Linked DNA regions of Sus scrofa. The protein of the gene in region 1 interacts with the protein of each later gene in a pairwise test. Links are inferred from orthologs where the notes say so. Each region holds a gene or a part of one and is shown on either strand. Other genes may lie near its edges.

Region 1 (12,619 bases):
CAAATCCAACTAGGAACCATGAGGTTGTGGGTTCGATCCCTGGCCTCGCTCAGTGAGTCAAGGATCCAGCGTTGGTGTGAGCTGCGGTGTAGGTCGCAGACGCAGCTCAGATTTTGGCGTGGCTGTGGCATAGGCCGGCAGCTACAGCTCTGATTGGACCCCCCAGCCTGGGAATGTCCATATGCCACCGGTGCAGCCCTAAAAAGACAAAAAACAAAAAAACACTAAGCAAACTTAGATAATAAGAAAAATCTATCTTTTAGCACTTAGGAAGTCACCAGAAAATGGTCAGCTTATATCCAAATGTTGATGTCTAAGATACAAAGTTGTTGAGGAGATGCTGCAAAGATGAGAAACACAAAGAGAAATCTGACTGCCAGAGTCATACAATTGGTTAAGAAAAGGTGGAAATTTAAAGTTTGTTATTTCCATACCCTCAGCCTAAGCTGAGGCTGGATCTGTCAGACCTCTTGACACAGCTCCAGCCTGCAGTTCTTTCCTGCTGTATTGCTGGGAACCCTTGAAGATAACAAAGCATCAGAAAGCCTGTTTCATTATGATGGCATTTAAAGGCAATTTTGATTTCACCTAGTAAATATTTATTGAGTGCCAGTAGCGGGAATCAGAAAGTTAGGTTCCTTGAGGTGTTCCCTGCTAGTGCTGGTGTTTCCAGTTTGAAGCCTCTGGTCTGCGTAGTTCTGCTGGTTCTGACTGATTGCTCTGGTGGGCTTGCACCATTCATGCAGTTTTCTCTCCTGCTTGCAGTGGTTGGAGACCAGACCTAACAGACAGGTGTGTCCAGTTTGCAAAGCTGGCATCAGCCGCGACAAGGTCATCCCGCTGTACGGCAGGGGCAGCACTGGGCAACAGGACCCCAGGTGAGGTCATGGAGCACCCCCCACACCCACTCCTCCCATGGGACACAAATTCACTTCCATTCAACAGCATCCCCTTACCCCACCCTTTACTTAGTGCTTATAGATCCTCAGTTTTGAGGCACTTAGGATCCAGATGGGAGTCAGCCAGTCCGGGAGGGGAGTCAGGTTGCCACGCTGGGCTGTGATACAGAGCTGCACTGAGTGTGTGCTGGCAGGTAGACAGGGTTCTAGGCAGTGCACAGGACATCACCATTGCAATTGTGCAGAGTGCTGTAGAGGAGCCTGGGAGGCAGTGTCCAGCAGGAGAGTCTGCAAGGAGGGGGTTTGCTGCAGCAGTGATATATAAAGTTGAGGGGGTAGGGGCAGTGAGGGGAGAGATAGGGGTCTGGGAGGCTCTGAGATTTCTGGAAATGGAGGTTTAGTGGTCTGGCACTCTACAAACACAAGTACTGAGAGCCTTCTTAGTGTGGTTCATGACATGTGTGCATATACACACAACCCAAACTCTGACAGCATCTCTTACCTTCTTCCACCTTGCTCCAGCGTACCTGTACCCAGACGTATTGGACTTTTCTTAAAGTGACTTGCCCTTTTACCTTTTACCTTTGTATTTACTATCACTCTGCTTCTTCTGTCCTCCCCAGTCCTGCTCAACTCCCTCTCCTCCTCTAACTTCTACAATCTTTAAATGAGCAGCCCTAAAGTTACCTCCTCCTTGAAGTGGCCTTTCTTTCCCACATTAGTTGCTTTCACCCATGCCTCTGTTCCATTTCGTTGACACCTCTATTACAGAAGTCCCTTCCCACCATGTGTTGTGCTTGGTTGTAGCCCCCTTTAAGTCACAAGCACCCCAAGGGTAGGGTCTGTCTTCAGTCTTAGTATTGGTAGCATCCTGCCTAGAGCCTGATGGGTGACAAGTGGGATGAGTCATGGAAAGGCCCAGAAGCAACAAGAGCAACGTAAAGTACTTGCCCAAGAATAGTGGGCGGTAAAGCTGAAGGTGATGGGGCAGAACAGAGACCCTGAATCTCAGCCCTATCTGCTGAGCTATCCTCTGTTTCAGTTTAGATTTGGGGTCTTTGACACCCATGACTCCTACATCACTCAAGCCCAGGCTGGCAGTCATAACTGGTCTGGGTCAGGCTGTCTGTGAGAGGAGTAGCCTGAGTACAATCTAATGAACATCTTATAACAAGTGGATTTTCTTCCTGGCTTTCTACACCCTGAGGAAAAGCAATTGCAGGTATAACAGAATTAGCATTTGGCTTAATTTGGCCTAAGTTCATGTGCTGGGCACAGAAAGGAGCTGTGGCCCTGACTTGCTGAAGAGCTCCCAGTCCCCTCAGGGAACAGCTCAAAGCATTTCGTAATAGACTTATTTCTGTTTCAGGGAGAAGACTCCTCCCCGTCCTCAAGGACAGAGGCCAGAGCCGGAGAACAGAGGGGTGAGGAAATTTCTAGGAGAATCGTCTAGATATGATCTTGTAGCTTTAGAAGTTTCCTTCTTGGCCCTGAACTTTTTTTTTTCCTTGATTATAAAAGTAAAGGAAAATTTGCAAAATACAGAAAGGAAATGGGGGGGAATAACTTATCACATCATCTAATCACTAGAAAGATTTTGGTCTATTTTCTATTTTTCTATAATCACCTATATACACAAACACGTTACAGATCTACTTATGTGTGTGTGTTTTATAAATATATGTATATATATACTTGCATACATATGTTTTAATTTTTACAATATTTGGCTCCTGTTTTATAACCCTCTTCTACAAGTTTATTCATTCTGTACTTATTGCCTACTGTATGCTAGGCATCATTCTAGGCACTGGTGATACATCAGTCAACATAAGAAAGGTTCCTGCCCTTATAGAGTTTACAGGTAGACCTTGGAGGTATTGCAGGTTTGGTTCCAGGCCACCACAAAAAAGTGAATATCACAGTAAAGAGTTGCACAGATTTTTTGGTTTCTCAGTGCATGTAAAAGTTATGTTTACACTATAGTCTATGAAATGTGCAATAAATAGCATTATGTCTAAAAAAACAATGTATATACCTTAATTTAAAATTATTTTACTGCTGGAGTTCCCATTGTGGCACAGCAGAAATGAATCTCACTGGCATCCATGAGGACGTGGGTTTGATCCCTGGCCTTGCTCAGTGGTTTGAGGATCCAGTGTTGCCATGAGCTATAGTATAGGTTGCAGATGCAGCTTGGATCTGGCATTGCTGTGGCTGTGGTGTAGGGCAGCAGCTGCAGGTCCAATTTGACCCCTAACCTGGGAACCTCGAGAAACTTCCTGCGACGAATGCAGCCCTAAAAAAGCAAAAACAAATAAAATAAAATAATAATTATTATTTTTTTTTCTTTTGTCTTTTTGCCTTTTCTGGGGCCACTTCCACGGCATATGGAAGTTCCCGGGCTAGGGATCTAATTGGAGCTGTAGCTGCCGGCCTACGCCAGAGCCACAGCAACTCGGGATCTGAACCGCGTCTGTGACCTACACCACAGCTCACGGCAACACCGGATCCTTAACCCACTGAGCAAGGCCAGGGACCGAACCCGCAACCCCATGGTTCCTAGTCAGATTTGTTAACCACTGAGCCATGACGGGAACTCCTAAAATAAAATTATTTTACTGCTAAAAAATGCTGTCATTTGAGCCTCAGCAAGGCATAGTAGTAACACCAGAGATCACTGATCCCCAGATCACCATAACAAATGTAATAGTAATGAAAAAGTTTGAAATATTGCAAGAACTAGTAAAAAATGATAAATTGAGCAAATGCTCTTGGGAAAATGGCACCAATAGGCTTGCTAGATGCAGGGTTGCCACAACCTTCAATTTGTAGAAAACACAGTGTCTATGAAGCACAGTAAAGTGAGACACAAGTAGTATTTTATTTAATGGCTGTGTAGTGTGCAGATATATGCACTTAGTATAATTTAATTTTTTGGTTAACTATTTCGTTTTCTTTTTTTCTATTTAAAAATACTCTGATGAACTTACTGATAAATTTTTAGTAGGTTCACAATTATTTTATTGGGATACATTCTTAGAAGTAGAATTGCTGGCTCAAAAAATTTACAGTTTTAAATCAGATGTTAGTCTTTGATTTTTTTTGTTAAAATATTAAAGAAATTTTATTTTTGCTTTTTTCTTTTTAGGGCCATACCCACAGCATATGGAAGTTCCCAGGCTAGGGGTTGAATCAGAGCTACAGCTGCTGGCCTACACCACAGCCACAGCAATGCCAGATCCGAGCCGAGTCTGTGACCTACATCACAGTCCGTGGCAACGCCGGATCCTTAACCCACTAAGCGAGGCCAGGGATCAAACCTGTGTCCTCCTGTATACTAGTCAGATTCATTTCCGCTGAGCCATGGTGGCTACTTCTGTTTTCTTACTTCAATATGGCATTTCCTTAGAATTTCCAGGGTAGGATTATTGAGTCAGAGGTCTTGATAGAAATTGAGGGTCTGTTCTCCAGATTACCCTTAATAATACCAACAATGAACACTTGCTAAATGACTGTTATCTGCAAAGAATTATATGTTAAGGGCTTTTTATTGCATGATGTCATTTAAATCTCACATCAACTCATTTAACAAAAGAGGAAACTGAGGCCCAGATAGGTGAAGTGGCTTGTCCAGGGCCACACAAACAGGGCTGAAGATCTGGCTTATGTTGAAGTCCTTGCTTCCAGTGACACCACCTTAACCTTCCCAGTCCCTGGTTCCCAGTGGAGCATTAGCTCCTAACCAGGAATCCGAGGGAACCAAGAAGTCAGAGGCCCTGGTGATGCAGACTACAGTGCATGCCTCTGCCGAGTACAAGCACCCACAGCCACCAGTAATGCTTTTTGCCTGCTTAGTCCCAGGAACAGAAACCCACCTAATGTGAAGACTTGTGGAGTTATATACAAGAAGGCCAGAGGGTCAGTCTTTGGGATTGTACTGAATGAGGTGGTGGTTCCTGATGAAACAGTTGCACCTTCCTGGGTAAGGCAGCCTTGATCCCAAGAGCCCTCAGACTCAACCATGCTGCTCTGAGTCAGGCAGTTCTGCACCAAGAAAATGGAGCACAGTTGTTTTCCTTCCCTATAGGTTTTCTGTCTCATTGAGTTGGCTGTCAGGCTTTATAGGTAATGCTGCCTTGTAAGAAGTTTGGAGCAGTAGAGATTGGGAGTAGCCACTCTCAGGACTTGGAGAAGACTCACAAAGGAAGGCCAGCCACCTCTTCATGGAATGCAGTTGGCCCATCATTTTTCTTTTTTTAATTTTTTAAAATAATTTGTTCTAAAAATCTACCCAGAGATGTGAGGGAGGAGAGGAATTTTTTAAAGATGTGCAATTTTTAAGAATGTGGGTTTTCAGACTGTATTGACTAGTTTTAGATCTAAACTCTGCTCCTTCCTAGATTTGTGATCTTGGTCAAGTTATTTCCCCTCTCCAAGCCTCAGTTTGGTCATCTGTAAATGTGGGTGATGCTGATGTGAGAATTAAATGTGATTTGAGTGTCCTAGTGCTTTACACAATGCCCAACACAGTTGGCACTTAAAAAATAGGAGTTGACCTATTTACAATATTATAATTTCTACCAAATCTTTTCATGTGAAAGATGATGCAGTGTAGAACATGTTATAGAGGGAAAAAGCTGAGGATGATCCCAAACTGCTGACAGTGGTTATTGGCAGGAGGGGTTGTAAAGTGGGAGGTGAACAAGGAGACCTCTGTAATATATGAATTTCTCAAAAGCATATCTTTTGCAATCAGAAAAAATATATTGAATTTTTAAATTTTCTGTAATATTAAAGGAAAAATTTGAGGGAAAATACTTATCCATACTTTGCCACATATCTGCATATTGTCATATACTTGCAACCATGGCGTCGGAACAGTTTTGTGAGATAACTTGGTCACAGGGGTTTTTCTGTGTTGCTGCATAATTAGCGTAATGTTCTTTGAGAGGATGTACCAAGATTTTGATCATGACCTCCATTGTTGGCTAATCAGGGTTCCACTTTTTTGCTGTTACAGACATTGTGTAGCTTGTCCTGAAGTTCCCTTGTAATTGGGCATAGAACTTATTGCCAATTTGGCTGTTTTAAAGCACATAGAAAATTTTAACTGGCTGTTGTGGGAGTCTGGGAAAGCCAGAGCCCTGAGATCCCTTACTTATCAGCAGAGTTTTACATTGGGCTAGAGCCAGTCCCTCCCCTTGATGGCTAGAAGTGCAGAGGGCCACCAGGGTTCCTCTACCTTGGGATCTAGATGGGAGGAAAAGAGGGTAGGGAGGAGAAGCATGTGCCACACGTAAAGTGACACATTTGACAGATGCAGGAGAAATGTGTTTATTGTTCTGAACTTCATTTATTCATTTCAGGGATTTCAAGGGTTTGGATTTGGAGATGGTGGCTTCCAGATGTCTTTTGGAATTGGGGCATTTCCCTTTGGGATATTTGCCACAGCATTTAACATAAACGATGGGCGACCTCCTCCAGGTAGGACCCTATTCTCTTCGTCATTTTTCTTGAAGGATCCTTGGAATTTGGCAGTATGTAGGTTACTACATGGATAATCGGCCTTTGCAAAATGTGCTAAAATCTTTTCCGATTACTAGTAGACATAGTAATGATGTTGCAACCTTACCAAGGATAAGGCATGTTCAGAGTGCTTTCCATTATAAGCGTGGGATCCTTACCATAAGCCTGTGGGACTTTAGCTCCATTTTATAAACAAAAAATGCTCAGTAATTTTTCCCAAGACATAAAATGAAAAAGCATAGGAGTTCCCTTTGTGACTCAGTGGAAACAAATCTGACTAGGATCCAAGAGGATGCAGGTTCAATCTGTGACCTCGCTCAGTGGATTAAGGATCTCATGTTGCCATGAGCTGTGCTATAGGTCGCAGATGCGGCTCGGATCTGGCATTGCTGTGGCTGTGGTGTAGGCCAGCGGCTACAACTCCGATTTGACCCCTAGGCTGGGAACTGCCATATGCCATGGGTGCGGCCCTAAAAAAAAAAACCGTAAACTGTGTGCCCTGAGTAAAAGCCTAGTCCTAGGCACGAACCCCCCACTTTGACCATGAGGGCTTGGAGGAAGAGGCATCCACAGGGAGTCAAGGTCTCTATTCTCTGGCATCTCCAGCCAGCTTCCCTCAGGACACATGTGGGCCTGGTCCTAAGCCCCAGCTCTTTGGGAACTCTGCCTTGGTCTGCCATCCACTGCTACCTTTCTCCCTCCAGCCAGTGTGAGACTGTCAGTGGCATTTGGTATAGAGCAGGGTGGCGAGGTGGGGGCCCTGGGCTCAGTCATGATCTGAGGCCCGGGCCCAGATTCTGACCCTGGAGCCTTTAGAGATGCTGAGGTTGGTTGAGCTCTGCTTGCACTCACCGGGGCCTCATGTGGGCTGAGCACAGTTGAGGTACAGAGGGACCAGTGCATGGCTCCTGGCCAGGGGTTTATGCTCTGGGGACAGTAACCTCTCCTGAGCGATCCCATTTGTCCCCTGTCCCCACCATGGTGCCTGACACACAGCATTCAGTCGATAAGTCTTTGTTGACTGCTGGCTGCCTGACTCCATCAGAGATCTAAGAGGGGAACAGTAAAACACCAAGAGGTCATGGGACTGCCCTTCCTTACTTCAGAGGTTTCCCTTTGTTCACATAGGGTTTGCTCAGAGGGAAGAGACCCCACAGGGCAGGGTGTGTTCTGCTCTAAAGGAGGGACAGGGCCCCATGGAAGCAGCAGGAATCTGCCTGGTAGCTTGTTTCCATCCAACCTAGCCTAGGGCTCACCCTGGTTTCCCCATGTAAACAGAATTCCGCAGCCAGGCTGGACTCTGGATCAGTTTACCCCCTGCTACAGCTAAAGACAGTTTTCTGTTGTCATGTTTGGACAGTTTGCCCATCTGGGATATAGATTCTTTTAACTCTTTCCCATGGTCAGGACAAGGAGTTCATATTAGCTTTTCTCAAAGCAGAAAGAAGTGGAAATCCAAGTTCTTAGCCCACCTCTGCCCCTAGTTTGTTATGCAAGAGGGAGACAGGTCGTTTTGCCTGTCTGGGGCCTAGTTTTCGCCTCTGGAAAGGGAAGGTGCCCCACTCAGGGCTCCCTGAGACCCCACCTGGCCCAACAATGCCAGAATCTAGAGACTCCATGACTTAGGAGGCAGCATGCTGAGAGGCTAAGAGCACAGCTCTGTGGCATCCCCACTAACTCATGGACCTCCAGGTCTCTGGCAGGTCCCCACATACCTGTGCTTCAGTAAGGACTTACATATACAAAATGGATAATAATACCAAGCAATAATGTATATATACAAAACAGCACATAAAAGATGCCCAACAAACAGTAGCTTTTCTTTTTCCAAGACTTTCCAGTTCTATTTGCACCTGCAGGCCAAACCCTCTTAGAATAAATGGGAGACTTTGTCCTCATTATTGTATGATTCCATATGTTTTCATAATTCTGGTTTTGTTTTGTCTAAGATTATTTGGAGTTTGGAAATATTTTTTTGTTTTGGCCATGCCCATGGTATATGGAACTTCCCGGGCCAGGGATTGACCCCATTCCATAGCAGAGACCCAACCTACTTCAGTGACAACCCCTGATCCTTAACCCACTGTGCCACAAAGGAACTCCTGGAAATCATTTTAGTGAGCAGGATTGTTGTAAAGTGATGAAGGCTGACACTCTCGACCTCTGACTCTGGAGGGCAGTGTGCACAGCTGTAGCATTCTCACAACCTCTTCTCCCTCCTGTCCCTCCAGCTGTCCCTGGAACGCCCCAGTATGTGGACGAGCAGTTCCTGTCACGCCTCTTCCTGTTTGTGGCCCTGGTGATCATGTTCTGGCTATTGATTGCCTAATGGTGAACTCCCAGCCTACATCCATGGCAGGGCCTCCGGATTGGTGACACGCCACCCTCACTCTTGATGTTTGACTTCCTGGCTGATCCTGACCCCTGGAATAGGGGTTAGTAACATGTTAAGGAGTCTTCTCCATCAGAGCTTTGAGACTGAAGATCAGTTGTTGAGGACCCTGGAGTATTGCCACTGCTGTAAACACCCTGCTGTAACCTCAGGCCTTGGCACTGAGTTGTGTCTCATGGGTTACACCGTGGAATCCTGTTCCAGCCAGCTCAGTAGGTCCTGACTCTGCACAGGGGAGAGGCAGGAGAGAAACTGTCAGTACAATTTCACCTGAGTTTAATAATGCAACAACAAATGGATGAACCAAATAGTACTTGCAGAAACTCTTTTTTCATCTCTTTAAATACCCCTTGGTAAGTGGCCTCTGAAGTCATCTAGAAAGGTTCCCCTTCCAGATCCCAGTGCTCTTCTGTCCTCTTTCTTCCTCCTCTTCCTCAGCAGAGATATGAGAAAGTGCTGGCCTATGAAGATCATAGTTGAAGCAGCTGGCGCTGGAGTTGCTTTGTGAATTCACCAGAGACCCTAAGATCTTTTGTTGCATCTGGGCCATGCTCAGTGTCTCTGGCTCCAGAGTGGTTTGAATGACCCCAGGTTTCCTGGCGTAGGTTATCCCCAGAGACATGTGGCTTCACTCACGGGTTTCCCATCAACTTTCCCTCCAAAGCTGTGCACATCTGCCAGGGGGCACCCAGCCTGGACAACTGCCGAAGCAGGGACGACTGCGCATTATCAAAGACCTGCCATTGGGACCCAGGTGGGATTCAGGGCCCAGATGCAGGAACAACTGAAGCAGCAGCCCTGTCCCCTAGGCCACAGAAGCTCCAGGTGCATCCTCTCTGGACCCCTCAAAGATACTGGGGGCCTTGTTGAGTCACCCCAACTGCATGTTGAAGACCACCCTCCTCAGAAACCTAGTTGTCCTTAATGAAGAGGCAGAGAAGGGGGAGACCAGTGTGTGACCCTGATTTGGGTACAGCGTGGAGACCCCTTGTGTGCTAAAACTAGGGAGCGTGTGACTCAGAGCAGGCAGCCTCAGCGTGATGATAGGATGCAGTCTTCCTGTGGATGTCCTCCCTTGGAAACTTCAGGGAAATCATTCTTCCCAAGCTCTTGATTTGTTTTTCAACATCTCATGTGTTTTCCTCCAAATCTGATCAAGGGAGTGTGGTGCCGGCAGAAGGACAGTTTACTTGGTAGAATGGTTCTTGCTCTGCTGGTCTGGCCTCTTCCTAGAAATCTAGCCTCCTCCAGGAGACCCTGAGGTTGAGAGGAGATGGGATTACTCTGGGGGCCACCTGACACATCACCAGTCCACACTGCTCCTGGTTTACCCCTAGCAATAGCCAGCAAGTGTTCAAAAGTGCCCCCTATCTGTTTTTTCCAGATATGGCTTGCACAGTGTGTAGAAACCAAAACTTTTGAGAAAGATGAGGGAAGCCTTTCTCCCTTCTCCACAGCCCCCGCCCCTTTTCTCTTATACCTTTCAATGCCAGAGTTCAGTGTTTAAACAGACAAAATATAAGTATTGAATAGGTGGCTCATTTACCAAATCCATTTGGTAGGAATAAGCCACCAGCTTTACGATGTGCCTGATGGATTTTAAACATTCTCCAGGCACCTACTCAAGAGTGCTTTTTTATCACCTTCTAGAAATACCCAAAGTCTGAGGGGCCCTGGAGTATCTCAGTGCAGGGAGAGAGGACTTCAGTGAGATGAGTAGTAGGTAGGAAGACGAATAACTTGGACCCTTTAACCGAGTAGAGTGAGCCCAAGAGAGCTCCACCAGCAAAGGCACCATAGGAACCTGCCAGCAAAGCCAGTTTGGCCTTGTGCCCTTTAATTTTGAAACTTGCAGGCCCCCACTCACCTCCTGCCAGGAGCTGGGGCAGAAGAGCCAATTTGGGACTGCTGGCCCAGCCCCGACAGAGAGCTCCCTTCCCACCACCCTCTGCAGGCTCACCACCTCACCCCTCTGCTGAGGCAGTTTTCCTTTCTTTTGTGTGTACTATGTTCTTGGCTCCCACACCCCTCCTGCCACCTTTGTGGATTAGGACCGGGTCCCAACCACAGTCAGAAAATGACACCATGTACAGTGGCACATCTTGACCAGTCACTAATTTTCACTGTTGTGAAAGTGATTTGAGTAGAATTAAACAAGTGGTTTTACATAACTGTGAGCTATGCACTTATTGTCTGGGTCAGGGGAATGGGGGGAATGGATTGGGGACTAGTCACACTGGTCTGGATGAAAGTCTTCACACATCCACAGTTAATTAGAAAGGAGAAGTATAGGCTGGAGGCCTGTCTTCCTACACAGACCCACTCAAGGTGTGCCCTGTCTGACAGGCAGACCCAGTCCTGATAAGTGTGAAATTCCAGAGCTTGCAGGCTGCCACCATGGAGCTTATTAGCTTGTGGCTAAAAAGAGCCTTGAGTACAGTCAATGTCAGCATCTTTCCCCGTGTTGTATCACAGGGGCAGGTGGGCCTCCAGCCAAGCCCTCTCCCCGGAGGAGGGAACGTGCTATGTGAGGTCCCTCAGTAGCAGAGTGTAAGATAGAAGATGGTGAGATTACAAGCCTGGTCCAGCCTCAGGCTCCCCAGCACACCTGGTCACCCCTCTGAAAGGAGCTTTTTTCTCCCTCTTGAACTTTGTCCTAACAGTTATCAAGCTGAATAGTGCCAGTGCAAAGGTAAGGTAACTCCAGGAATTCAGAAGGCCAATAAGAAAAGGAAACAAGACACACAAGTAGAACAGGACAGTAAGGCCTGCGTGTACTAATTGACCAGCTCCAGGTCTAGTCCTAATTCACCCCACCTCACAGTGTTCCTCTCCCCTACACTTTTTGGAAGCAAATTCTAGTCATATGTTACTAAGCATTTAAATATCCATCTCAATAGGATTTTTAAAAATATAACCAAAATACTTTTATGTGCCTTTAAAAATTGATAATTCTGGAGTTCCCGTTGTGGCGCAGTGGTTAAAGAATCCGACTAGGAACCATGAGGTTGCGGGTTCGGTCCCTGCCCTTGCTCAGTGGGTTAACGATCTGGCATTGCCATGAGCTGTAGTGTAGGTCACAGACGCAGCTTGGATCCTGTATTGTTGTGGCTCTGGCATAGGCCGGTGGCTGCAGCTCCGATTAGACCCCTAGCCTGGGAACCTCCATATGCTGTGGGAGCGGCCCTAGAAAAGGCAAAAAAAAAAAAAGTTTTAATATCTTCATCTATCCAGTTATCATTCAGATTTTCTTAGTTGTCACATAATTTTTTTGTACAGTTTGAGTTGAGAACCAAATCAGATCCATACGTTGCTATTGGATGTCTCTTTTCTAAATCTCGTACATCCTTAGAATCCTCTTGTACCTCTTTTCTTTCCCTTGCAGTTTATCTGTTAAGGAAAGCAGTTTATTTGTCCTGTTTAGTTTCCCACAGCTGCACTTTTGCTCTTTTTTTTTTTTTTTTTTTGTCTTTTTGTTATTTCTTTGGGCCGCTCCCGCGGCATATGGAGGTTCCCAGGCTAGGGGACGAATCGGAGCTGTAGCCACCGGCCTACACCAGAGCCAGAGCAACGCTGGATCCGAGCCGCGTCTGCAACCTACACCACAGCTCACAGCAACGCCGGATCGTTAACCCACTGAGCAAGGGCAGGGACCGAACCCGCAACCTCATGGTTCCTAGTCGGATTCGCTAACCACTGCGCCACGACGGGAACTCCAACTTTTGCTCTTTTCATCACTGTGCTATTAACAAACTCTTACTCTTGTATTTCCCATAAATTGGTTGTTAAATCTAGAGGC
Region 2 (11,744 bases), on another chromosome or scaffold:
AAAAAACATTTTAGTCATGGAAACAGGATAAACATTTCAGTTCAAATTTTAAAATGAAAATCTAGGAGTTCCCATCATTGTGAAAAAATCGGACTAGGAACCATGAGATTGCAGGTTCCATCCCTGGCCTCTCTCAGTGGGTTAAGGATCCAATGTTGCCCTGAGCTGTGGTGTAGGTCGCAGATGCGGCTTGGATCCCACGTTGTTGTGGCTATGGTGTAGGCCAGGGGCTACAGCTCTGATTAGACCCCTAGCCTGGCAACCTCCATATGCCGTAGGTGCGGACCTAAAAGAACAAAAAAAAGAAAAAAGAAAATCTAAAAGTTCTTAGGAGAGCTTGGGAGTCACCTAACAACTGTGATACCTCAGTCGGAGGAATCTTTAAGCCCAGTGCAAAGGCTTATTTCCATCTAAGGCTCCTCACTAACTCTGGCAGTGATAAATGTTACAAGGCATGTCCTTCTGCTCTTCCCAACTCCAAGACCAAGGAGGCTCTGAATTAGCGTCAACTCACAAGGAACAGGTGAGAGGGAGGCCCTCAATTTTGTGAAAACCCACGGAGAGATCACTGCACACAATTTATTTCCATCGCTCTACGTCTGAGGCTGATTCTCACCAACGGCACAATCCTTGATCGGCAGTCTGCTTGGGCTCAGGATCCGGTCAGGACCCAGGCCGCAATGGGTTTCATCTAGCGACTTCCGAGGGCGCCAGGGGATCGGCTTGGCTCAGGGCGAGCTGGTCTTTCTTCTCCTTCTGCAGGACCTGCTCCTCCCACAGCGCCTGATCCACCTGATCGTCGGTGAGCACTACAGGCTTGTACTTCTCATCGAAGAGCCGCTCGTTGGCTTCCGAGTGCAGCTGGTGGGGCTCCACGACGCGTAGATGTGCCGGCAGGTGCAGGAACTCGTCGTGGTTGATGTCGCAGTCGCGCATCCGGGCCCCCAGCACCCACCAGCGGCCCACGAAGCCCACATCCAAGATCCGGTCCGGGAAGTCCGCCCAGCGGGGCTGCAGGTAGCGGCAGCGGGCCTGGTAGAGGCTGACCTGGGCGTCGAACGGCGCCTCGTACACAAGCGAGCAGAGGCCCAGGCTCACGTGGCGCAGGCGGCCGCGACCCCGCAGCCAGAGCAGCCGCTGCACAAATGCTTCAGAATCGCGGTTGCGTGTGGCCGGCGCCAACAGCAGGAGCGTCCCCGACGCATCCAGCAGCGCCTCCTCAAAGGCTGCCTCACTCGGCGCCAGGGCGCAGCAGGCCGCCGCGCCGCCCAGCAGCCCCACGTACACGGCTGCACGCCCGGGCCGGGCTCGCGCTGCCGCCGCCGCGTCTCTGCAGGCCTCTGCGTAGTCCTGGAGCAGCGCGCGGGCCCAAGCTCCTGAGAGGAGAGAAGCGCGATGAGGGCGGTCGGGCCGCTGCGGCCCCCCACCCCCACCGCCTAGCGCCTCTACTCACCCAACCGCGCCCACACGCCAGGCTTTGCAGCCGCAGCGTCCCCCGCCTCCCCACGGCTTCGGGACCACAACCTCTTCAGTGCAGCGGCCGCCATCCTCTTCCGGCTGGGCGTCCCTACTCCGAAAAGAAACGCCTGGTATGCGAAACAAAAAGATCCGGTGAATATCTTCTGCGCAAGCGTCAACATTTCCGGAGGTAGTTTCCCATCGGAAGACGATAGAAAACGGACCGACGCCGGATGTTGCTGTCGGGTCCGACTGGGGTTGCCCCGGCTGGTAGGCGGGTCGCGCAGGCGCAGAGAGTACCGGCCACGCCAGTTGAGGCGGCCTCAGGTGAGGTGGGCGGGGGTGCACCTGGGGGGCGGGAGTGCTGTGTTCACGCCCCTGCGGTACGGTCAGCCGCCAAACGGGGCTCGGGGCTGAGGGTTGGCTTCAAGGAGTGGCGCTGAGTGGGGTTGGGGTGGGCCTGATTGGCCTCTCTCCTCAGAGCGGGATGCGGCGACGCCCCTGAGTGATCATGGCAGCGGCGGACGAGCTGGCCTTCCACGGTGAGTGCCGCCGCGGTCTGACCCCACTCCTACTCCCTCCACTGGCCAGAACCTCCCATCCAGGTCCCAGCTCACATCTAACCGGAATCCCAGTCAGCTGTGAAACCTGACCCAGGCAGGAACCTCGCTCCAGCCCTAAACTCAGACCTCAAACCTGAGCCTCTACCCCATACCAGCCCTCAATTGCGGTCCAGTGTTAGGAGTGAGGGGAAGGGGACACACCTCTTTCCCACTCCCCAAAATTGAGGAAGCTGTACCCTGGGTTGGGGGGAACACCGAGGTGGTCACAGTTAGTCTTGGCCCCCAGATGAGCAGTGGGCAGAACCAAATTGTCTTGACCCCTTCAAATACACCTGTGTCCCATATTCCTTCTCAGCAGAGTTCGAGGAAGCCACTAATTTGCTGGCCCAGACCCCAGAAGCGACCACCACCAGAAGTGATCAGTTGACCCCCCAGGGGCATGTGGCTGTGGCCATGGGCTCAGGGGGCAGCTATGGAACTGAGGATGATGCAGAGGAGAGTGACAAGGCAGCGGTGGGTCCCCTAAGTCTCTGTGCCCTGCCTTTGTCTAGTCCCTGCTGCCCTTCACCCCTCACTGAAAGCCCACACTGTTCAGCTCCTACAGGAGGAGAAGCAGCAGCCTGGTTTCTGGACCTTTGGCTACTATCAGACATTCTTTGACGTGGACACTTCACAGGTCAGACCCGGGGAGTTGGTGGAATGGGGCTCAGAGTCACACTTGGGGTTCAGCCACTAGTCACTGAGCATTTCCTGCGCACCAGGCCCTGAGCAAGTGCTAGCAATACTCATATGAGAGAACAAGAGTCCTACCCAGGCTGGTAGATGTAACTGTGTGGACTGCAAGGATTTTGATGTGTGACAGGGAACACACGTGATATGGTGGGTTAGGGAAGGACCCCTTGGGAGAGATGAGGAATTTGCTGACACTTAAAGGAGAAGGTAGATTTAGCCAGGCAGAGTGGAAGGAAGCTTAAGTACGTTCCAGGCCCAGGAAACAGCATAGGTAGAGGAGCAGTAATGAGAGAAGACAAAAACTACTGCAGAGGCCTTGTATCACTCAGTCTGGAGAGTGAAATGGGAGACAGGTGGAGAGAATCCAGGTCACAGGGGTCTCTTGAGCTTTGTTAGGGAGTTTGGGTTTTATCCTAACGGTGCTGGGGGGTCATGGAAGAGTTTAGAGGGGGAGAGAATTGAGTAGCGTGGAACACGGATCGGAGGCCCCAGGACAGGGAGATAATATTAAACCAAGGTTGTAGAATAGGGGACATATTGGGAGAGACACGTGAATGAGAACGCCCGGGATTTGTTGCCGATCCTTATGGGGGCAGGGAGGAGAGAGCAAAAAGGGGAGTCCAGGACACGGATTCTGAGAGGAAGGAGATGCAAAGAAGATAGCAGGCCCAGAAGTGTTCTTTAGAGTGGTGGGACACTGGGATAGTGAGTGGGGCCTGGCCAGGGGAAGGGCTCCAGGCCATGGGAATAGCCCGTTAGAAACCAGAGAGGAGTTCCCATTGTGGTTCAGCGGGTTAAGAATCTGACTACTATCCATGAAGATGTGGGTTTGATCCCTAGCCTCACTCATTGGGTTAAGGATCTGGTGTTGCCTCAAGCTGCGGTGCAGCTTGCGCATGTGGTTCCGATTCCGCCTGGCTGTGGCTATGGCCAGCAGCTGTAGCTCTGATTCGACCCCTTGCCTGCGAACTTCCATATGCTGCAGGTGTAACCTTTATTTAAAAAAAAAAAAAGGAAACCCACAGGGAAGAGCCCTTTTTGGTGGTGTGGAGAGGAGGTGGGAGGTCAGCAGGGAAGGAACCCCTAAGGAGCTTAACCCCGCTCTTTTTTTTTTTTTTTTTTTTGTCTTTTTTGTCTTTTTGTCTGTTGTTGTTGTTGTTGCTGTTGTTGCTATTTCTTGGGCCGCTCCCGCGGCATATGGAGGTTCCCAGGCTAGGGGTTGAATCGGAGCTGTAGCCACCGGCCTACGCCAGAGCCACAGCAACGCGGGATCCGAGCCACGTCTGCGACCTACACCACAGCTCACGGCAACGCCGGATCGTTAACCCACTGAGCAAGGGCAGGGACCGAACCCGCAACCTCATGGTTCCTAGTCGGATTCGTTAACCACTGCGCCACGACGGGAACTCCAACCCCGCTCTTTTGTGGGTGGTGAAGAGCCCCAGGCAGGCTTCCATCCTACACCTCGGCTCTGCCCCCCAGGTCCTGGACCGGATTAAAGGCTCACTGCTGCCCCGGCCTGGCCACAACTTTGTACGGCACCATCTGCGGAATCGGCCAGACCTGTATGGTGAGTGAGGTTGTGTGTTTTGTTCATTCAATTAGTCCTTTGGCAAATGTGGACTGAGTGCCAGGTCCAGGTATACAGCTGAGAACAAAGCAGAGCCACCCTGGGAGAGCGTGAAACTTACCCTCTGTTCAAGGAGACAGTGCCTGAAGATTAGGCTGCAGAGGGCAGTGGGGCTCGGAAGAGTCGCAGGGGGCTTAGAGGACAAGGGTTGCTGTTTCGCATCAGTTCTTCAGGGAAGGCTCCTCTGAGCAGGGTGAGGGAATGAGCCTTGTTGGTGTCAGTGTTGGGGGTGGGGAGACCTGGGGGAGAGCATAGCAGAAGCGGCATGTGGCAGTTCAGGCCTGAACTGCAGGGCAGCACTGTCCCTGGATTGGAGTGAGCTGCCAGGAGATGACGGGACAGATCTCACAGGTCTCCTATGCTTTGATGAGAAGGGATCTTAGTTAAGTGTCCGTGGGTGGTGTTTGCCCTGGGGAGGGCGAGGGCAGACACCAGGAGACCATGGAGGTGATGGCCAAGGTCCAGGCATGGGATGCCAGGCCTAGCCTGGGGTACAGAGAGGCGTGGTTGGATTCTGGCATGTGAGTGTAGTGGGGCGAATGGCGAATATGAGTGCCAGGTTTAGGGCAGAGGCCCAGGCTTGAGACATTTGGGGGTTGTCAGTGCAGAGGTGGCATAAGATGGACAAGATCACATAGAGGGGAGGGTGGAGGACTGGGCCCCGGCTGGCTCCCCATCATTGGAGAGACCAGGGAGTCAGAGGTAAAAAATTGCCAGTGAGATGAGACAAAAGCAAGAGCATAAAGTCCTGGGAACCACATGAAGAGTGCTCTCAGAAGGAGGGGAGTCAACTACATCACAGGCTGTTGAAAGGCCAAGAGAAACGAGAGCCTGAGTTGACAGCCAGCCCTGGATTCAGCCAGCAAGTTGTCAAGTGTGATGCCAGGTGGATGGAGCACTGGGTGGAGGCAGGCCCGGGGCTTGGGAAGAGGCTGGGACAGATCACCTGTCCTGGCACCGCCCCTGCCCTGCCCATAGGCCCCTTCTGGATCTGTGCCACACTGGCCTTTGTCTTGGCTGTCACCGGCAATCTGACCCTGGTGCTGGCCCAGAAGAGGGACCCTTCCATCCACTACAGCCCGCAGTTCCACAAAGGTAAGCAAATTGGGCAAGGCCTGGTACCTGGCGGGCCCAGGGGTGCCCCAGGGGGTGATGACCTGCCTTGCCCCACAGTGACCGTGGCTGGCATCACCATCTACTGCTACGCATGGCTGGTGCCGCTGGCACTGTGGGGCTTCTTGCAGTGGCGCAAAGGTGTCCGAGAGCGCATGGGGCCCTACACCTTCCTGGAGACAGTGTGCGTCTACGGCTACTCCCTGTTTGTCTTCATCCCCACTGTGGTGAGTGGGGCCCAGGGATGGGCCACAGGTGCCCTGGGGACGAGACCTGGTAGCCAACTGTCTGTCGCCTCCAGGTCTTATGGCTCGTCCCCATCCCGTGGCTGCAGTGGCTCTTTGGGGCACTTGCCCTGGCCCTCTCAGCCGCTGGCCTGGTGTTCACCCTCTGGCCGGTGGTCCGCGAGGACACCAGGTTGGCAGCCGCAGTGCTGCTCTCTGCCGTGGTGCTGCTCCACGCCCTCCTGGCCATGGGCTGTAAGGTACCAGTCTCGGGGAAGTCATAGGTTGGGCCTTGGGTTTTGGGGTTGGCTTGCGGGCTCTGATGCTGACCTCAGGGGATCTTGGGTCAGTTTTACTTCTTCCAGCCGCTGCCTCCGGAGCTCCTAGAACCTCCCCACCAGGCCACAGCCCAGCCCCCAAACATACCGCTGCCACCCACCCTACCAAAGTCCATGGCGACCTAGGAAGGCTGGAGCCCACAGGTGAGGAACTGCTTCCAGCTGTAGCTGAGGCCTGCCCCCGCCACTGCGCCGAGCCCCCCACCCCGTTAGAAGTCAGGGCCACTCGTAGGAGTTTCTGTCTTTCAGGCCCATCAGGAGGGGATGCCTCTGCCTGCCCTGCCCCCAAGACGGTGACTGAAGGCACCCCTGGAACCTCAAGATCATTCTGCTACTTTCCAGACTTTTCTTACAAAGCAAACACTTTTATTTTCTATGCAAAGGTGATTCAGAGAATTTATATAAAGGCGGGAAGAGGGACAGAGCAGGGAGCTTCCAGGGCAGCCATCGCCCCATGGGCTACCTGCCAGGACGGGTGGGCAGCAAAAGGGCCACCCCAGCCTTGGCTGTGCCTGCTCTCACTGGGGTGCCCAGCTTGTGGGCCTTGGGCCTAGCTCCACCACATCTGAGTTTGCGGGTGTTAGAAACGGGGAGAAGTAGAAGAAAACTGCCTGTGCTGAAACATACATTTCCTTGTTTATTTTGCTTTTCTTTTTTGGAGGGGTCCCTGCAAGGCCCCTTCCCAGACTGGGGAGGGACCAAAATGCCATTATAGTGGGGACTTGAGCATCTACAAATACTGAAGGGGACACACAGGCCTAACATTAGCTACACGGAAAAAGGACGCCTTTCACCACAGACCCTTGAGGTTTGTGTCTGCCCCAAGTGGCTGATGGTGACCCTTCCCTCCAGGGCCCACAGGGCCACCTGTTCTAGCTCTGGGTGCGGGTGGGGGTGGGAGACCTGCAGGGGCTCAGGGACAGGACAGCAGCAAGAGGCAGGGGCTGAGGACGGAGGGCCTTCCCGACAGCCGGGTGGGTTGTACATTCAAGTGTGAGGTGAACCCTTTGGTGGGAGGGGGCCGAGGGGTCCAGAGGCCCAGCCCTGCCCCATCCTGCAGACCCGCAGGGCTGCCCCTCGCCACTGAGCCTCTGAGTCGGGGAGAGGGGCTGCTGGCTCGGCCCGGCCGGCCTGATTTCTCAGAGGGTCTGTGGATTGACACTGGTTCTTTTCGTAAAAAAATAAAATTAAAAAAAGCAGCATGTCACGCCCATTGTGACCAAGGCCTGGTAGTTGAAGGGGAGGCCCCGCCCAGCCAGGAGAGCCTTCCTGCTGGAGACAGAGGAGGGCAGGCCCCAGGGACCCGGCAGCAGCTGCTTCCATTCCCCCGCCAGGCCTGCAGCTGTCAGGCCCGGACACGCCTGTTACAGAAGATGTCAAGCCCAGGTCAGGGTGGAGAGGATAGGAGGGGGCAACAGGGCTCCCATGACATGATCGTGTGTAAAATATGGCAGCGACACGCGCTCAGGGCCAAGATGTGGGTGGGCGGTGGGGTGGGGGCGGCGGCAACGTTGTGTAAAAAAGTGTTCGAGTTCCCGTAGCAAAGAGGGCTGTGACTGGTTGTTCGGCTTCTCCAGTACAGGGGTGAGAGCCGCCCAGGTGGAGGGGTGGGGTGGGCAGGGTCTTCATTTGGTTTCCTGGTGCTGTCAGTCTGTTCCACGCTGGGCGGGCCTAGCTCCCGTAGTGCATGGTGTTGGTCGGGATGGACATGGGCGAGGCCATGGAGATTGCGGGGCCGCCCATGGTGAACTGGCTGTTGACCGCGTAGTGGGCGCTGGAGCTGCCGCCGCTGCTGCCCTGGGCGCCAGAAGAGCCTGTGGGGTGGGACGTGGGCACTAAGGGACCAGCTCCACCCCCTTGCCCACCCGGACCCGCGGCAGAGTCAGAGAGAGAAGAGAGCAGGCGAGAGGGCAAGGCGGGCGCCGCGGTCAGCATGCCCACGCCCGCAGGACCCTGCTCCCTCTGTCCCCGTTACCTTGGACAATCCCCGTGCTCATTATGGAGCCCATCCGGGAGTGGGTGTGATTGACAATCCCCGTGTTGGCTGCGCAGCAAGAGGGAGGAAGGAAGGAAGGGAGACGGCGTCACCGCCCCCAGCCTGCCTCGGCCCACGCGCCCGTCGTGGTGGGCGCTCACACACGGGTGTGGGGAGGGAGGTGGGCATGGTTCTGGCAGAGCGAGGCAGAGAGGAATGGAACAGGGGACCTCAGCCCCAGCAAGGAAGAAAAGGTGGTGATGCAGAAGGCCCAGTGCGGCAGTCCCAGGCGCCCGGCCCCCAGGGCGCTCACCTAGAGGAATCAGGTTGTTGTGGCCCACGCTGGAGCCTCCGGCGATAACACTGCTCAGGTCGTAGGCGGTCGGCATTCCTGTGCCAGGGAGGGAGATGTCAGGGGTGGGGCAGTGACCCAAGCAGGGCTTCCAGGGACCAGGACTGTGGGCTTGTTTGCCCGGGGCGGGGGGCACCGCTGCTCACCCCGCCCAGGGGGCCTTGCTCACCGGCCACAGCCATCCCGCTGCTGAGGTTATAGGTGCTGCCGGTGTTCCACATGTTCTCCGAGGGGGATGTGTAGTGGGAGCCCGGTGGGGGAGAGGGTGTCGTCCCGGTGTATCTGTGGCAGAGAAGGACTGTGGGCGTGGGTGGGGCCAAGAGGCTGCGGGCCAGGAGGGCACCCCCACCGCAGGACGAGGGCCCATCCTACCTGAAGAAGGGGTTTTTCAGATCCAGGAGGTTACTGGACTTGGAGCCTGTCTGGTCTACCTGGGCCACAATACTGATGTCATAGCTCTGTCTGCAGAGAAGGCAGGAAAGGGTGGCCATGAGGGGGCTACGTGGGTGGACCGGACCCCTGTCTCCCCAGGCCCCCAGGGCGGCAGCTTGCACCTTTTGTTGGCAATAAGCAGACATGTCCCTGAGAGCGTGTCCCCAGCCTTGGCAAACAGTGGTGACTGGAACAGGCACCGGACCTGGTACCAGTGGGTCAGGGGTTCCGTCGGCGCCGTGGACAACCACACGGTCATTCTGCCAAGCAGGGACAAGCATGTACTTATATCTGGGCTGGAGCCACTCCGACACCCCCACCCCTGGGCCCACCCTGTGCTCTCCCCAGGCACCCACCCCCTCCCCCAGGGGTCCTGAAGCCAAGAGAGGCTGGCTGCCCGGGATGTCCTCAGCACACAACCGCACACACAGCCCCACAGCCAGGGGCACCCACTCGCCTTGACATACATGCCAAGAGACACAGTTCAGGCACTGTGAAGAAGAATCACTCAGGACAGTATAGACATTAGCCTCCCTCCAACACGCTCACACACACACAAAATAGTCTCTCCCTCCAAGGCCAGCTCTCACTGCGTTTTGGAAGGGACAGCGGAACATGGAGGAGTCATGTCCTGCCCTCCCAAGCCAGCCAGGCCTGGGGGTCACAACTGCAGGCAAGTCCCTGGGGCTGAGGGGCTAGGGCCACACACTGCACTCACATGGAGCCAATGAAAGCGACGTCAAACCAGAAAGCCAGACCGTGAACCAGCCCGGAATGCAGCATGTGGAATTTGAATGGGATTTCTATCCTGGAAGGCAAAGGGCAGTGATTGCTGGGGAAGCTGAACAGGGGCGAGGAGAAGTGTCGAGTGTAGGAGGTCAGGGCTCCTGTTTGCCTGCCCTGGGGAGAATTCTGCCTGAGGGAGCCAGCTGGGGTCCCGACCTCCAGCAGGAGCCAGGCCCAGGAGGATGGGGCATGGTTGCAGGTTACCTGTGCAAATCTCCTTCTTTGGCTTCTAAGAAGTTCACCGTGTACTTGACAGACTTGGCCATAAGGATCCGGATGTCAAATGTGTCCTGAGAGAGATCACAGGTGTGACCTGGCTTCAGGCCAAGGGGCCAGCAATGAAGAGAAAAGCCCTGCCCCTCTTCCTGAGTCTGGCCATGGCCTCTAGGCCATTCAGCCAAAAGCAGTTTGCTGTTCTCAGATGTAACGGAGGGTGAATTGGTATAACACCATGGAGGGCAGCTAGGTGACACCTCTCAAAATGACAACTGTTCATCTGTATAAAGTTCCCATTGTGGTTCAGCAGTAATGAACCCCACTAGTATCCATGAAGAATTGAGTTTAATACCTGGCCTCACTCAGTGGGTTAAGGATCTGGCATTGCTGTGAGTTGTGTACGTTGCAAATGCAGCCCTAGCCTAGTAACTTCCATATGCTGTGGGTGAGGCCCTAAAAAGACAAAAAAAAAAAAAAAAAAAGATCTGTCAATTTCACTTCTGGGACTTTTAACCTACAGATCTCTGTGCATATGTATAAACTTACACATGTTAATTACAGGCTGCCTAGAGTAGCAACACATAGAAACCATCTAATTAAACCAACAATGACCCATCAATAAAAGACTATGTATGTGAAAAAGAATAAAGAAGCTCTTAAAAAGAAAAGAAGAAGAGGAAGCTCTTTATGAATAGGTGGGGAAAGAGCTCCCAAATAAGTTGTCAAGCATGTTCACGAAAAAAACAAGAGAACCATGTGCTGACATCCATCCCAGCTACGATGGAGATTTTATATCAGGCTAACAATCCTGCCAAGAACTAAACGAGCGGAGTTAAAAACAAAGGAAAAAAACCCTGTTGTCTGACACTGGAGAGCAACCACAGCAGCCACAATTTGGGGGCTAAGATCCTAGAGGGATGCTTTTTGGCCTGTGTCTTTCACCTTGGGGTGGGCCTTTCAGCAGCCTCCCTGGGTGGGGAAGCAAAATGAGGGCTCAGAGTTAGCCAAGTAGCTAGGACTCAAGGAACTGAGATGCTAAAGAAACGGGAAATGTGGAAACACAAGGTGGATGTTCTCCATTTGATTTCACTTTGTGGCATTTGAGCTGCATGTGGAATGGGGGTTAGAGAAACCAAGCAAAAAGCCGCTTCTATGAGATTAAAAAGCTAAGAAAAGGTTCAGCAGCATAGTGGTGCTGGGAGGCTGGGACAAGAGGCCTGTGAACCACCAGGCTGACTGAGATCACTGAAACTAAAGCAGCAGTTCCCAAAATGTGATCCCTTCCAGAACACCCTCAAGGTAAAACTATTTTCACAATAACAGATGTTTTCTGCCCTTTTCATGTATTCCCTCACCTGTGCTATCACAAGAGACTGAATGCAGAAGCAGAATCCAACTGTATTCTATGAAGCCAGACATGAAGAAATATCCCAAATAAAAATGATGCTATTCTTGGAGTTCCCGACGTGGCGCAGTGGTTAACGAATCCGACTAGGAACCATGAGGTTGCAGGTTCGGTCCCTGCCCTTGCTCAGTGAGTTAACGATCCGGCGTTGCCATGAGCTGTGGTGTAGGTTGCAGACACGGTTCGGATCCCGTGTTGCTGTGGCTCTGGTGTAGGCCGGTGGCTACAGCTCCGATTAGACCCCTAGCCTGGGAATCTCCATATGCCGCGGGAGCGGCCCAAGAAACAGCAAAAAAAAAAAAAAAAAAAATGATGCTATTCTTGCTGAAAAGTTTTGGAAAATAGTTTTTCTTAAATGCTATTAATATGTAATAGGTTTATTACCTTTAAATTAACTAGTAAGACCAAAAAAAAAAAAAAAAAAAAAAAGGAGTTCCCATCGTGGTGCAGTGATTAACGAATCCAACTAGGTACCATGAGGTTGAGGGTTCGGTCCCCGGCCTTGCTCAGTGGGTTAACG

Evidence for each region.
Region 2: the proteins of RNF185 (region 1) and YIPF2 interact in binary tests that used the Homo sapiens proteins (3 or more experiments, as listed by UniProt). The two-hybrid records come from large-scale screens. The link is inferred for Sus scrofa from reciprocal best matches to the Homo sapiens genes RNF185 and YIPF2.

Annotation. Positions count from the first base shown.
Region 1 is NC_010456.5:47,968,712-47,981,330, forward strand, and holds the end of RNF185 (E3 ubiquitin-protein ligase RNF185), read left to right. Parts: intron 1-765; coding exon 766-878; intron 879-2,268; coding exon 2,269-2,323; intron 2,324-6,268; coding exon 6,269-6,386; intron 6,387-8,659; coding exon 8,660-8,757; 3' UTR 8,758-10,991; downstream 10,992-12,619. UniProt on the Homo sapiens protein: E3 ubiquitin-protein ligase that regulates selective mitochondrial autophagy by mediating 'Lys-63'-linked polyubiquitination of BNIP1.
Region 2 is NC_010444.4:69,639,521-69,651,264, reverse strand, and holds YIPF2 (protein YIPF2), read left to right. Parts: upstream 1-1,573; 5' UTR 1,574-1,785; exon of another isoform or gene 1,786-1,790; intron 1,791-1,939; 5' UTR 1,940-1,969; coding exon 1,970-2,000; intron 2,001-2,376; coding exon of another isoform or gene 2,377-2,379; coding exon 2,380-2,534; intron 2,535-2,616; coding exon 2,617-2,697; intron 2,698-4,235; coding exon 4,236-4,323; intron 4,324-5,361; coding exon 5,362-5,723; exon of another isoform or gene 5,724-5,797; coding exon 5,798-5,980; exon of another isoform or gene 5,981-6,070; coding exon 6,071-6,184; 3' UTR 6,185-6,202; intron 6,203-6,307; 3' UTR 6,308-6,698; downstream 6,699-11,744. Other genes in the region: TIMM29 (mitochondrial import inner membrane translocase subunit Tim29), read right to left, coding at 688-1,376, 1,454-1,547; histone-arginine methyltransferase CARM1, read right to left, coding at 7,446-7,872, 8,034-8,424, 8,555-8,667, 8,758-8,847, 8,940-9,077, 9,536-9,625, 9,808-9,893.